Zea mays: one gene and its partners. The protein of the gene in region 3 binds, or shares a complex with, the protein of the main gene of each other region. Links are inferred from orthologs where the notes say so. Each region holds a gene or a part of one and is shown on either strand. Other genes may lie near its edges.

Evidence for each region. The genes of interacting proteins can lie anywhere in the genome.
Region 1: uncharacterized protein LOC100216950 (region 3) and mediator of RNA polymerase II transcription subunit 14 share a complex: the UniProt entries of both Arabidopsis thaliana proteins name them as parts of the mediator complex. The link is inferred for Zea mays from reciprocal best matches to the Arabidopsis thaliana genes SFR6 and SWP.
Region 2: uncharacterized protein LOC100216950 (region 3) and Mediator of RNA polymerase II transcription subunit 28-like share a complex: the UniProt entries of both Arabidopsis thaliana proteins name them as parts of the mediator complex. The link is inferred for Zea mays from reciprocal best matches to the Arabidopsis thaliana genes SFR6 and AT3G52860.

What each region holds. Positions count from the first base shown.
Region 1 is NC_050097.1:176,303,046-176,307,185, forward strand, and holds the start of mediator of RNA polymerase II transcription subunit 14, read right to left. Parts: upstream 2,819-4,140; 5' UTR 2,325-2,818; coding exon 2,070-2,324; intron 1-2,069. UniProt on the Arabidopsis thaliana protein: Component of the Mediator complex, a coactivator involved in the regulated transcription of nearly all RNA polymerase II-dependent genes.
Region 2 is NC_050103.1:84,916,319-84,920,207, forward strand, and holds Mediator of RNA polymerase II transcription subunit 28-like, read right to left. Parts: upstream 2,487-3,889; 5' UTR 2,341-2,486; coding exon 2,151-2,340; intron 1,717-2,150; coding exon 1,604-1,716; intron 839-1,603; coding exon 704-838; 3' UTR 519-703; downstream 1-518. UniProt on the Arabidopsis thaliana protein: Component of the Mediator complex, a coactivator involved in the regulated transcription of nearly all RNA polymerase II-dependent genes.
Region 3 is NC_050096.1:232,623,742-232,628,043, forward strand, and holds the start of uncharacterized protein LOC100216950, read right to left. Parts: upstream 2,825-4,302; coding exon 2,789-2,824; intron 2,432-2,788; coding exon 2,257-2,431; intron 2,100-2,256; coding exon 1,576-2,099; intron 1,064-1,575; coding exon 887-1,063; intron 540-886; coding exon 159-539; intron 23-158; coding exon 1-22. UniProt on the Arabidopsis thaliana protein: Component of the Mediator complex, a coactivator involved in the regulated transcription of nearly all RNA polymerase II-dependent genes.

The DNA of each region.
Region 1 (4,140 bases), on a different chromosome or scaffold from region 3:
GGGACCAAGTTGATGAAGCTATTGGTGCATCTGCACATCTCAGAGGTCGTAATTTTCCTAGGAGAGCTGGTGGTGGGTGTGTGAGAAGGAATGAAGACCTTGAGGAAGAGGAGACTAATTTAGCAAATGAAGATGATGAGGAATATATTCTTGATGATCTTGATGTGGAAGATGAAATTGAAGGAAGCAATAGTGGAAAAGATGGTGACGATCAAGGCGCTATGCTCATGGTCTTAATATCGATGAGTTCGATGATGGTTACTAATCATGCATAAAAGTTGTAACTTGTGTGGTTGAACTTGTGTTGTTGAACTTGATATGTTTCTTTTTATGCTAATGCTATTTGGTTTGTGAACTCAACTTATGTATGAACTTATTCTATATTTGAAATTCTATGTCAAGTCTGAAAAGACGTTTCAACGTTCGTTTAAACGTTTAAACGTTGAAAAGTTGGTTCATAACGTTTTAACGTTTTACCGCTTTAATAACCATGTTTGAAACAGCCTCCTTGCATAATTATGCGAGGGTGAGGCTGTTGAGAATCCCCTTCTCCAGAACCCACATTGTGTTCAGCTTTCAGCACTAGGTACACAGCTGACAGCCTGACATAACAACAAAATTAAGGTACAGTGGGGCATATTTAAAGGAATCCATTGGCTCAGTGGAATGATGTAAAATGCCATTAAATCAACCTCAGTACTTCTGGATCCGTTGAGGAAGTGCTCTTTGGACTAGTTCAGTGCTATATCTAAGCTTGGTTGGGACAAAGGAAATCTTAAACTTTTCATTGTCCTTGTCAACTTATTTTTTACTAGACAGTCTCATTTTTCTGTCCTACGTTTAATTACATTTGTAGCACAGAAATTATATGTCAAGTTGTCAATTAAATTTAAAAGAAAAGGATTTTATGGATGTGAACCAGATAATGAGCAATCTAATAAAAATCAGAATACTTCATCTTGATTTTGTTACAAAACAAAAGTGGCTTGCACGATTGCACTAGGATTAGCTTGCACCAAATATATGCTAGAAACAAATATTTATGACAGCATAACAACCACATTACCACAGTTCAAACCATATAGTGAAATATTACAATTTGAAATGGAAGCAATATAAATCAATGAGACTCCCGTGATAAAAAAAAACTCGGCCGGGGAGGGAAAGACCGCCCTCCCGGTATTATATTAAGAAGAGACCGAAACAATGGTCCCGGCCGAGAAAATCCCCGAACCCTGGCCCCCAATCACTAACGGGCCGGCGTCAACTGTCCACTCTGCAACGGCCCAACCGGAGGGTGGCGCACAGGACATCGTAACCCAAAAGCGGATGGGACACAGCGAGGGGATTTTTTTAACCAAGCCTGAAAATTCGCTCCCGGGGGGAAATCGAACCCAGGACTTGGAGGTGCTACTCGGAAGTCCTTAACCACTAGGCTAGAGGCCCTTTCGCGACTCCCGTGATATATAATGCATTTTCAATGGTTTAATAGTTTAATTATTAAATTATATTTGTTGATTTTACATTCCCCTGATCTATGTGTGCATGGTGGTTCGCAGTTCGCACTATTTCAAGTACATTGTAAAACGGTCTTATTTCACTCGTCGTTTATGCTAGAGCACACCATGACAGCACCAGAAAAATAATATAAGTTTCTAGTGCGAAACAAATTGAGCTTTTTCATAATACCACTGCACCAAAACAAAATAAACAAATCAATGAGTATGCCAAGATTGAACTGGATTACATTTTGTCCACCAAACAATCATTTGTGTCCTACTAGGAACTGGAGTACAGACCCTACAAAATTAGGGGCAAAAATGCTGGCACAATTCATCAACAATCACCAATCTTCACTATCCCACTACACTGCAATAAGACAACAACTATGAATATCCTTCTTTACATGCCACTCGAGCTAGATAGGTGAGACAATGCCACTAAACCAAACTAAAACAGGATATTAGGCACTCACACCAGTCAGATTGAATTCTTAGCATACCTCAGCAGAATTATGACAAGGAGACAGACAAGCAAGAGAAATAGCAAAGACTGAAATTAGGCATCACCTGCTGACACCACTTGGCAAGGACGTGGAGACGAAGCATGCGCTGGCGTGTGCGTGTGATGAACTTGAGCAAGTCAATCTTCTTCTCGGTGTCGGACCGCTGCCAGCTGCCATTGGCTCCGGCGCCGATGCCCTTCCCCTCGGCCTCCGCCTGCGACTTCTCCACGAGCTCCCGCAGAGCGAGATAAGACTCCTCCGCCGCACGCCGCACCACCGCGCCCAGCTCCACCGTCTGCTGCCCCAGCTCCCCTGCCATCCCCGCACGCACGCCCGTCCCGAACAGCTAGGGTTTCAGCGCCCACCACCTACACATTCTCCAGTTCCTTCTCCTAATTAACTCCGCAAAGCGCCGGAGACGAAACTCTAGCCCTGTATCGCCAACGTGCGCACGCGTGGGCCGGGAGGAATCTCGCAGGATTCGCCGCGCCTCCCCGTGAATAGTGGTGGAAGAGGGAGTGGAACTGAAATTGGAAACCACTCAGTCAAGGGTAAGGCTCAGGGAGGGGACCGAGGGTGGCCGCGAGAGAGGGTGAAAAGGAGAGAGATGGTGGAAGCGAGAGACGGAGGTCGGCGGCGGCGAAGCGGCGGCGTGGGTACGGCCTCCTCTCTCTCTCTCTCTCGCTTCTGCGATCGATGAGTTCAGGACCGGCGGAGGGTGCGAGTGCGCCCTAGTCGACGGGCCCACGCGGAACCGGAGGCCTGGGCTAGTAGCCTAAGGGCATGTACAATGAGTATCTTAAGTTGTGTCTTAGAGTGTGTCTAGGGGGGTGAATGTAAAAAAACTCAAGACATGTATCTTGACGAAGACACAGTGTCTTAGCTCTATGTTCGAGACAGGAGGCTAGCTGATTGGTCACTTTAATTTATTGAATGCTCTGATTGGTACAATGAATATGGTAAGACACACGTTTTAGACACGACCACTGTATTGTGTTGTGTTTTAGCTGTGTCTTATACTTGAAGTACCGTGCAGTCGTATCTGGGTTGTACATGCCCTAAGGGCATGTACAGTGGAGAGACACCAAAACGGTTCTCTAAGCACAGGAGACAACTAAGAGACTCTATTGTACAATGGAGTGTCTCTAAACGTAGTCGGTTAATAAATACAGAATTAAATGTATTTGTATAGCATCAGATCGATAGAACAGACGACAAATTCGTACAGTGGGAAGTGAGGCGTTTGTTGTTACTTGGTTTACGAGCCAGAGGCGTCTCTTCACGGAGAGACGGCTCTAAGATTTTTTTGCAAATAACCCCCTAAAACACCTTAAGAGCCCCCATATTAAACACCACTGTACATGCCCTAAGAAATACAGAGGTTATTGCCGAGGAGGTGACTGTCTTTGGAGCATTAATGCAATAATTGAAAGGTATGATTCACCGACTATATTTGTATGTTATGTATATCAAAAACTTTACATTTATTTATCTATTTACGTTATTGCCTTTATAGTGATGTTTGTTGTTATTTTTATAGATGATTATGCTAAATGATATCACATTTGTACATCTAATAGACGGAGGAGGACTAGCACTCTAACAAGTGTTTGGGTAGCTTTAAAAGCTCTTCCTATCCTTGTGAAGAAACCACACATTGGTGCTAAGGAATTACAAAGTTCACTTCAAGATACCTACAAATGCATAATTGCTCATGACACAGTTTGATATGGAAAAGAGAAAGCCTTGAAAGTGTTGTTTGTAACTTGAGAAGAGAGCTTCCAACTATTGTGCTCTTGGAAGGAGGTAGTGTTGCATAAGTCACCTTATAGTGTCATTTGTTGAATTAATGTGGGTCTGGCCCATATTAATATTCAATAATAGTCAATGCTAAAGGCCCATTTTAATGCTACGGTGTACTAGTACTTTAGTATAATACCAGAAGTTTAAGGGACAATTCAATCAACTTAAATAGGTGGTCCGTTGGTGCATCTATTGAGAAGCTGAGAAAAGGATGAAGGACTGCCACACGTGCGCGCGCCGCCGACCGGGCAGGACCGTGGCCGTGGCTAGGGCTGGGAAAAAAGCTCGAACTCGACGAGTGTTTGGCACTTGTTCTCAAAAGCTTTGAATCA
Region 2 (3,889 bases), on a different chromosome or scaffold from region 3:
ACTTACTATAAATTTAAACTCATCCAATTATCTCCAATCCATATGAATTGTGATGACAAGGATTATGTCCTTAGGTCTTGTTCATTTTATAGCAAAATCATATGGATTAAGGTGTATTGAAATGGATTGAGAAAGATTTTGACTAGTAGTGGATTACTGAACAACCTGGCAGTGCACCTTTAGGAACGGAGATAAAACACAAAGTGTTTTTTTTCGCTTGCTCGTGTATTCAACGTAGCAACTGTGCCACTTGGCTCGGCTTTTTGTCAGGAGAAGGTTCTGTTCGAGCTGATCCAGGCACAAATGGAGTAAAGATAGAAAGGAACTTGCGAACATGGCGGCCATCCAGAGTAGGCACATAACCCGCTAGGCTGACTCCAACAGTTCACCCAAAGTTTACCCATAAATTCACCCAAAGTTTACCCATAAAGACAGGAAGCCGTTAGCATTCTATGTCGTTTTATGATGGCAGAGACTCATTTTGCACAACAACAGAGACCATGGGGCAAGTAAAGGTACACAATCAAACATAGATAAAGTGGGCTTTGTTCGTGGCTTCCAACCTTAAGAAACCAACAAAAGGCGATTGCTAACCATGGCGTCAGATTCTAAGCACATGTACACAGTTTTATAGGGCATAACATAACATTTGGTCACCTAGAGGTTCATGATCACTACAAGGTAAACCGCAGAATCGCACTCCTCACACCCTTTCAAGCTCCGTGATGTGCTTGCTCAGCTGCTCCTTCAGTTCCTTTTGCCACCCTTCAATCAACTTCTTGTGCTTGGCAATGAGCTCAGACTTGCTCTTCAACTCTTCCTCCATTGTCGTAATCTCCTGTGCAATGCAAAACCGAACATGCCAACGAGATGATAAATATTGGGTGGGTATATGTATCCCAAATTCCTAATTAAGACCAGCAACTATGCACCTGTGATTCTCTCAACTACTGCAAAGGCATTTTTTTACAGAAACGTGTGCATGAAAAATTCATGAGCACAGAAGGTGTTAGGTGTATGAATGTGATTGGGTGTTCCTTGGGAACATTACTTTGTAGAAGTGACGATTCAGGCAGGCTACCAGTTCTTTCAATAATGAACACCTCAACTTCGAGTAGAAATATAGGAGTCTTTGTAATAAAGCTTATACTGAGTGTAACAAACTGCCTGTAGCAAGTAGCACTATGTGATTTATAAAGTTGGCTATTCCTAAGTATAGTGCCAACCACAAATGATCACAGTACTTGGGATGATCATATCATGTGAAATGTCAATCCTATCACCAATGAAAACTTTTAAGGGAGTGTTTGGTTTGAGGAGTCACTCAATCCAAAATGATGTGGTGTATAATGAGTCCATTCCTCAAATTTGCTGGGATGACCTTATTTCTCATATTAGTACTAACTAACTATAAGGAATGACTCCATTCCTTATTTCATTCCACAAATCAAATAAAAAAAGAGAAGTGAGAAGACGATGGACTAGCTCATTCCTCAAACCAAACACTTTATAATTAATTCATTCTCCATAACCAGTCCCCAATTTAATTTAACTACTATCCTTGCCGCACTCTTAACTATACGAGGATAAAGTAGAAATATACCTTTCGAAGCATCTCTTCTGCAGATGGCGGTTCCTCACGCTGCAGGCTGATGAAATAAGACTGGAGCTTCTTGGCAGCCTCCATGAAATCCCTTGCGTGCCTCTCAACATCAACTGCCCAATTTAGTAGAGACTACAACACTTAGATACCCTGTTTGGCAGGAACGAATGAGAAAATGCAATTAAATTTCTCTAATAAGCATTGCACACTATTAAGTCGGTATCTAAAAATGTGATTTACTTCTTTAATAAGCATTGCAATGTGATTGCCTGATTGGTACAGTTGATACAAGTTGAGTTCTCAGTCTAGGACCTAAGAAACCAATCGATATACAATTTCCTGGGCACAAGAAAGATGCAAAATCTTCCTCTAGAAAGAGCAAGATCCCTTTATCCATCCCGTAGGCAAAACAACGAACATGTGGCGCGCGACGGCGCCATTAACCGACCGAACACCATGAGACTTTACTGGTGTCGAAGCCGTGCCGGATCAAAGTGAAGCTACCTCTAGAGGAGGAGAGTGGGGAAATGATGGGGGTCGGCCGTACTCTGGTGGGAGGACTGGAGGGAGCGGTCGACGGCCTGGAGCTCGCGCGCGGGGAGGCACGGCAGCAGCGCGGCCTCCAGCGCCGCCACACACGCCAGCATGTCCTCGAGCCCACCCGCCGCGGGAGTCTGCTGCGTCGGCGGCGGGGGCGGCGTCTGCGCTGGCGACTGCGACGGCGTCGGCTCAGCCATGACGGAGAATGCGGAGAGAGGACCCGGAGAGATTGGGAGCGCTTGGGCCTCCGATTTGCTATTGACAAGGAGGAACTTTCCGTTGGATTGAAGACGCACGGCTAGGATTGGTTTACAAATGGCGTGTTCTGCGCCTGGATAGGCATAGGCTCGAGGGCTGAGGCTGCCTTGGCTGAAGGAAAGCGCATAGTTTGTTCAGGCTGACAATTTTCTGAAATATTTTTTCTTTTTTATAATAGCACACTTCTTCATATTTTGGTGCCTAAAATTTAGGCAACACTCTTATATACCACTGATTGCTAATAAAGGACCATTTGGATCCTTTTATTTTCAAAGAATTGGAATTTACTCCCTCCAGTCTTCAAATATTTGATGTTTTGGACATGACCTCATATACCAAGGAGCTATTAAATAGGGTTGTTATTTTCCATAATACCCCTAATAAATACGCTTAGATTCCACAACAAACACATGAAGATGTTAGCCTAGATGGTTGGGTCCTAAAGAATTTTACACTAGGTCGTGAGATCAAACCTTCACGATAAGAATAATTAAGCATATGTGGAAGAATGTGTGAACCACTTATATCAAGGGTATATTAGTCCAAAATAAGCTTCAAATGCTTCAACATCAAGCATTTGCTAGTCCAAAATAAGCTTCAAATGCTTCAACATCAAGTATTTGCATCCAAAGTGAAAATCACTTAAACATCAAGTATTTAAAGACTGGAGGGAGTATTTAATAGAGTAGGTTATTTGATTTGAATTTGATATTACACCACTTTCCAAAGTTTAGATATAAACTCATCTCAAATTCATAAGATGGGGTGGAAATTGATTTTATGTATTCAATTCTACGTTTCTACTCTGTAATTTATAACACACTCTTCTACTCACTCTCCTATAGTAGAAATGTAACATATAAATATCTCTCAAATATGGCCAACACTAATATACAAATATACTCACTATAAAACCATATTAGTTTAATTGATTTATGTCTAAATTACAATTATTATATTAGAATTCAATTCCAAGGGTCCAAAGGGGGTCTAAGACTATAATTTTATTGTTTACCTTTATGTTATAACCTATATTTTTTCCCTTAGCTAACTACTAAAATAATTGCAAAATGTTAATGGTCTTTATGTCAACACAAATCAAAATCTACCAAATTTATGATTTTGTTCAATAGATATTTTATTCTTAAGAGTAAAAATGTAGATTATGTCTATATAAATTACAACACACTAAAAACTAAAATTCAGGTACCTAAAATTTAGTAAATCACTTAAGGGCTTATTGAGAAGTAAGAAATTTTAACCCCTCGATCCCCTCCAATCCTGTTTCTCCCAAACAAGCCCTAATAGTTGTAACACCCTAATTTTTGGTTAGGACATGGAACTAAATACCATACCTCATTCCTTGTGAAGTTGTTGAGGTCCTCTTGCATTGCCACCACTCAGTCCGGATCTCTTAGTGCATCCTCTATCCTGTATGGCTCAATAGAAGACACAAAAGAGTAATGTTCACAAAAATGAGCAACTCGA
Region 3 (4,302 bases):
TTTGCCGCAAACAACGTATGCACTAGAAAGAAGAAACAACAAATTTAGGCATCGAAGTATATTAGGGGAGTAACCAGGATTCTCTAATAAAGAACTCGTCAAGGAACTATGAACCCAGACTTGACAGCAAAAGGTAAAGCGACCATAACCATACTCACCTTGTACCAATCACCATCGAGACCTGTTCTCCACACAGCCGTGACAACATCTCTTCGAGATCCCATGACACCTAGATAACCTCCAAGACCTACAGATGTTTTCAGACCAAATGCAGCATCTCTTTCAGATAACCTACGCTTTCTTGGCCAAAGATCAATCCCAATGGAACTGACAGCATCCACTTCCATGTCAGACAAATGAGAGTTGATGGAACCACTAATTTTTAGACGAGGCATATTGTCCAATGGACCAAAATCATCTGGTTCTGACCAGGGTCCACCAAACATGTTGCGTCTATGCCATTCTTCCGCAGGAGGTTGCAGTTCTAATTCTCGAAGTAGAAGTCCAGCAGCATCAGCTCCTCGTGGACGAGGCATATTCTACAGAGTTACAGACATAGGAAACAATGAAATATTGAAAATAGATGGGGAAGTAGGCATCGAGGGATCACTCAAAATGCCATGTCTAAGGCCCTGGCAGTAATAGTGCATGTTTCTATAAAAAATGGCTAATACAAAAAAGATAACTTCTGCTAAGAGAATCCTAATCAACATTTAAAGGTGGTCGTCCTGAATTCAGTTCGAAACAGGAAGACTTGCAATATCTCTGAGTCGTGCACTTGAAAATCAACTTCTACTCCTATAATTGATAGATGTTGGTAGCTCAAAATGGCCACAAATAGTACGAAAGCGACCATTAGAAACTTCCATGAGAATTTGACTAGTACCTGCATATGGGGACCAAGAGACGCTTCCACTACCTCAGGGAGCACTGTGTAGTTGCCGTCAATGTAGTGCAGCCTTATGATAATGCTACTGGAACCAACCTGAGAGGCAGGCAATGGATGCGGCAAGGTAGATGTCCTTCGACATAGGTCAACCAGTATAAGAAAAAGGACCTTGACCTACCAACAATGAAATAAAATTACAGAGATAATTAGATAAACTAGACAAAAAGAAATCTTCCAAAGAATAGAAAGACAGATCTGTAAAGCATCTGATAAATCACTCAATAGAGATCATGAACGACATATGCAATCAAACTGTTGTTCATGCTAGGCTGGACAAAATTTTAAACTGCTTAAATCAAGGGTCCAAAATAACCTACATACGCAATTGCACTCTATGATGGCTATATCGACATGTGTTCTCCCATAGCAACCAAAGCTAGACATTTCCAAAGAAATGCAGGAGCCAAAACATAGTTGTTTCCAAACTAATCACTATGTTCAGGACTTCAGGTCACCAGTTTTCCAGCGCATTTGGCACATCGTCAGCTTCTTCACACTAACTCCCAAAGTTCAAATGCCAACGATCAGTCCCAGTTTGGTAGCACTAACTCCCAAAGTTTCCTTAGTATAACTCAATATTAAACTCTGTAAAAAATACTATATCTTGTCAAGAATTTGATAATCACCTCATCTGAAGTATAACCTTGCCCAGCGTTGCCAGAACCTATTCTAACAGATTTGCCAATTGGATTTTCTTCAGGACCCTTTGCACCACCAAGAACAAATTGTCCACCACGCGCAGAGTGACCTTCTTCTACTTTGGCAGCCCCTAGACCAGATCTTACTGTCGAACTGTTATCTTCTGTCTTAGCATTCATCATGTGTTGTATTTTCTGCATGGCAGAATCTTGATTTTTTTGCGAACTGGCAAGTAACCTTGGTGATTGCCTTCTTCGGAAAAGCAGACAAAATAGCAGTAATTGACATAATCTATGAAGAAAATGGCAATCCCCAATAAGTCTCACAGCAGGTGTGCCAGGGAAAGTGCCCGTATTAATGCTGATGGGCATAAATGATGTCCTCGTGCTCATTGGATTCTGTGTTGCAGTGGCAGCACCATCAGAATTGTTACTAATCTTAGCAATTGCACCTTGGACCCACTCCTGCATTTGTGAGTTCCCTGTTGCAGATGTTGATCCCCCTTGATTACCTGAAATTTGAAGGAGCATCAAGATGCTAGCAGCACTAAATAAACAACACTTTAAGCCTCAAATTTGCAATGAAGAAAACATAAGGTTTGGATGTACTTTTTTGCGCACAAACAAGAGAAAAACACAAGATTTAGCAAGCTAGCAGGCATAGCTAACCTTGATTATTTGATGGCGAAGGAGAACTGTTTGTTGGACTTGTAACCATATTTCTAGAAGTGCCTGTGGTAGAAGATGGCCCCACATGGCTCGCCAGAGTTCGACAGAAACTCGCATAACGCCGCAAGCGAGTTATGAAATGTGATGCTAAATCAAGAACAGCATCAACGTAACCCTGCATTTGAATGCAAATAAAATAAGCTATTTCCTAGTAACATAAAGAATCCCTATGCAGATAACCTGTGCTGAAATTTATACAATACTCAACATTAAAAGGCTGTAATACACCAGTTTTGGCAAAGGATAACAGACATTGCACATGAGTTCACCAACATAACTAAAGTACCGTTTACATGGAAGTGATCTAGCATACCAATATACTGCTCACTACTTTATAAAATGAAAAAAAACGGCTCAGTAGCAAGTCTTAAAAGAATAAAGTCAGTAAAAAGAAAGAAAGAATGTTAGATAGCTGAATTTAAGTTCCATGGCTATGAAATAGAAACAACTTGCATAAAGGAGACAGCTTGACCTGGATGTTTGGAAGCAGAGCTGGCTCAACAGTCATTTTGTCAGCATCGATGCTGGATAACATATCACTGGAAGCTTGCCAGGGCTCAGGTAGCAGAGTTGATGGATTTGTAAGGGCAGACTCGATTCCTTTGCCTAGCATATCCAGAAGTAATCTTGCTTGCATGTCCAACACAAGTGCCCGTACATCTTGGGCATTTGTTCCTTCCAACAACCTACACTTAATCCTATCAAGGTTCTGCATGTACAATTGTACATTCATTAATCATAAAAGGAAGAAAGGTAGTAAATCAAACATTGAAGCCAAAAAGGTATAAAATATGAAATATCACCCAAAATTCCAACTGTCATATTAACTCATCACAACCCAAAATATCATATGAATCAGCTGTCCAGCCAGTCAATTAATTTAGAGACACCTGCTGAGATGCCAATGATTTTCAACCCAAAGGCAAACAGCCACTGGAAAAGTTTCTAGCATCATTTTGCGGTTAAAATAAAAAAATGCCACTGTTGTAAATGCCCATTAAAATGTACAATTTACACATACTTGTGGCCAGGGGCGGCCCCGGTCCAATAATACTTATATCATATCATAATTTTAGTCCATAAAATCCAACAAAAATAGGTAACAGCCTTCCATCTAACCGTGGCATCTAGCACCCGCACCCGATCTCGTCCACGCAGCCATGTCGCCACAGCACACCAGCACCAAACAGTAGTGCCGCACACACGCGCGCCTGGCCCCCATCCGTGCCATAACACTGCAGTAGTGCCAGTGCCGCATCACAAAGCCTGACGGGCAGCGCACTGTGCACCCACGCCGCCACGCAGGACACGGCCACGGACCAGCGTGCATGGCCGACACACCTGCAGCAGCTAGCAGCGTGTAGGCGCCCAGCAGCCAGCACAAGGTGCAGGCCAGCGCAAGGCGCACGCTGCAGCCAGCACAAGATTTTGAAACGTTTTTAAGGCATAAGAACTCGAAAGATAAATTTACGTTGCAACCGTAATTCATGAGGCTATGGCCAGCAGATCGTGCATATGACCGTGTAAAACATTGTTTTACACTGTAGAATGCACTATTTATAGAGTGGGGTTTGAAATATGAGATGAGGATGAGTAAGCTGATGGAGATATCTTGAGCGGTATATATTGAGTATTGTATTTATAGATTTCGTACCTACTTATTTTGTCTACATGTGTCTTGAAGATTTGAATTATACTTGTTACTTTGTTATATTAAACATTGATATATCATTTAGTTCAGCCTAAAAAAACTAACCTTCTTTTAGCAGCCCCTCCTTTGATCCATTCCTGGATCCACCACTGCCTGTGGCAGCAGAACATTAACAGTTCTATATTTGAAGAAAACAGTATATTGATCTGTGTTATGCTATAATTCACTTTAAAATCCAAAGCTATGCCAGTAGATAGACATGAATGTATATTTGGTTATAGCAATATCAAAATGAACCATATTCACTGAAAGCGTATGAACACCATCCACACTGT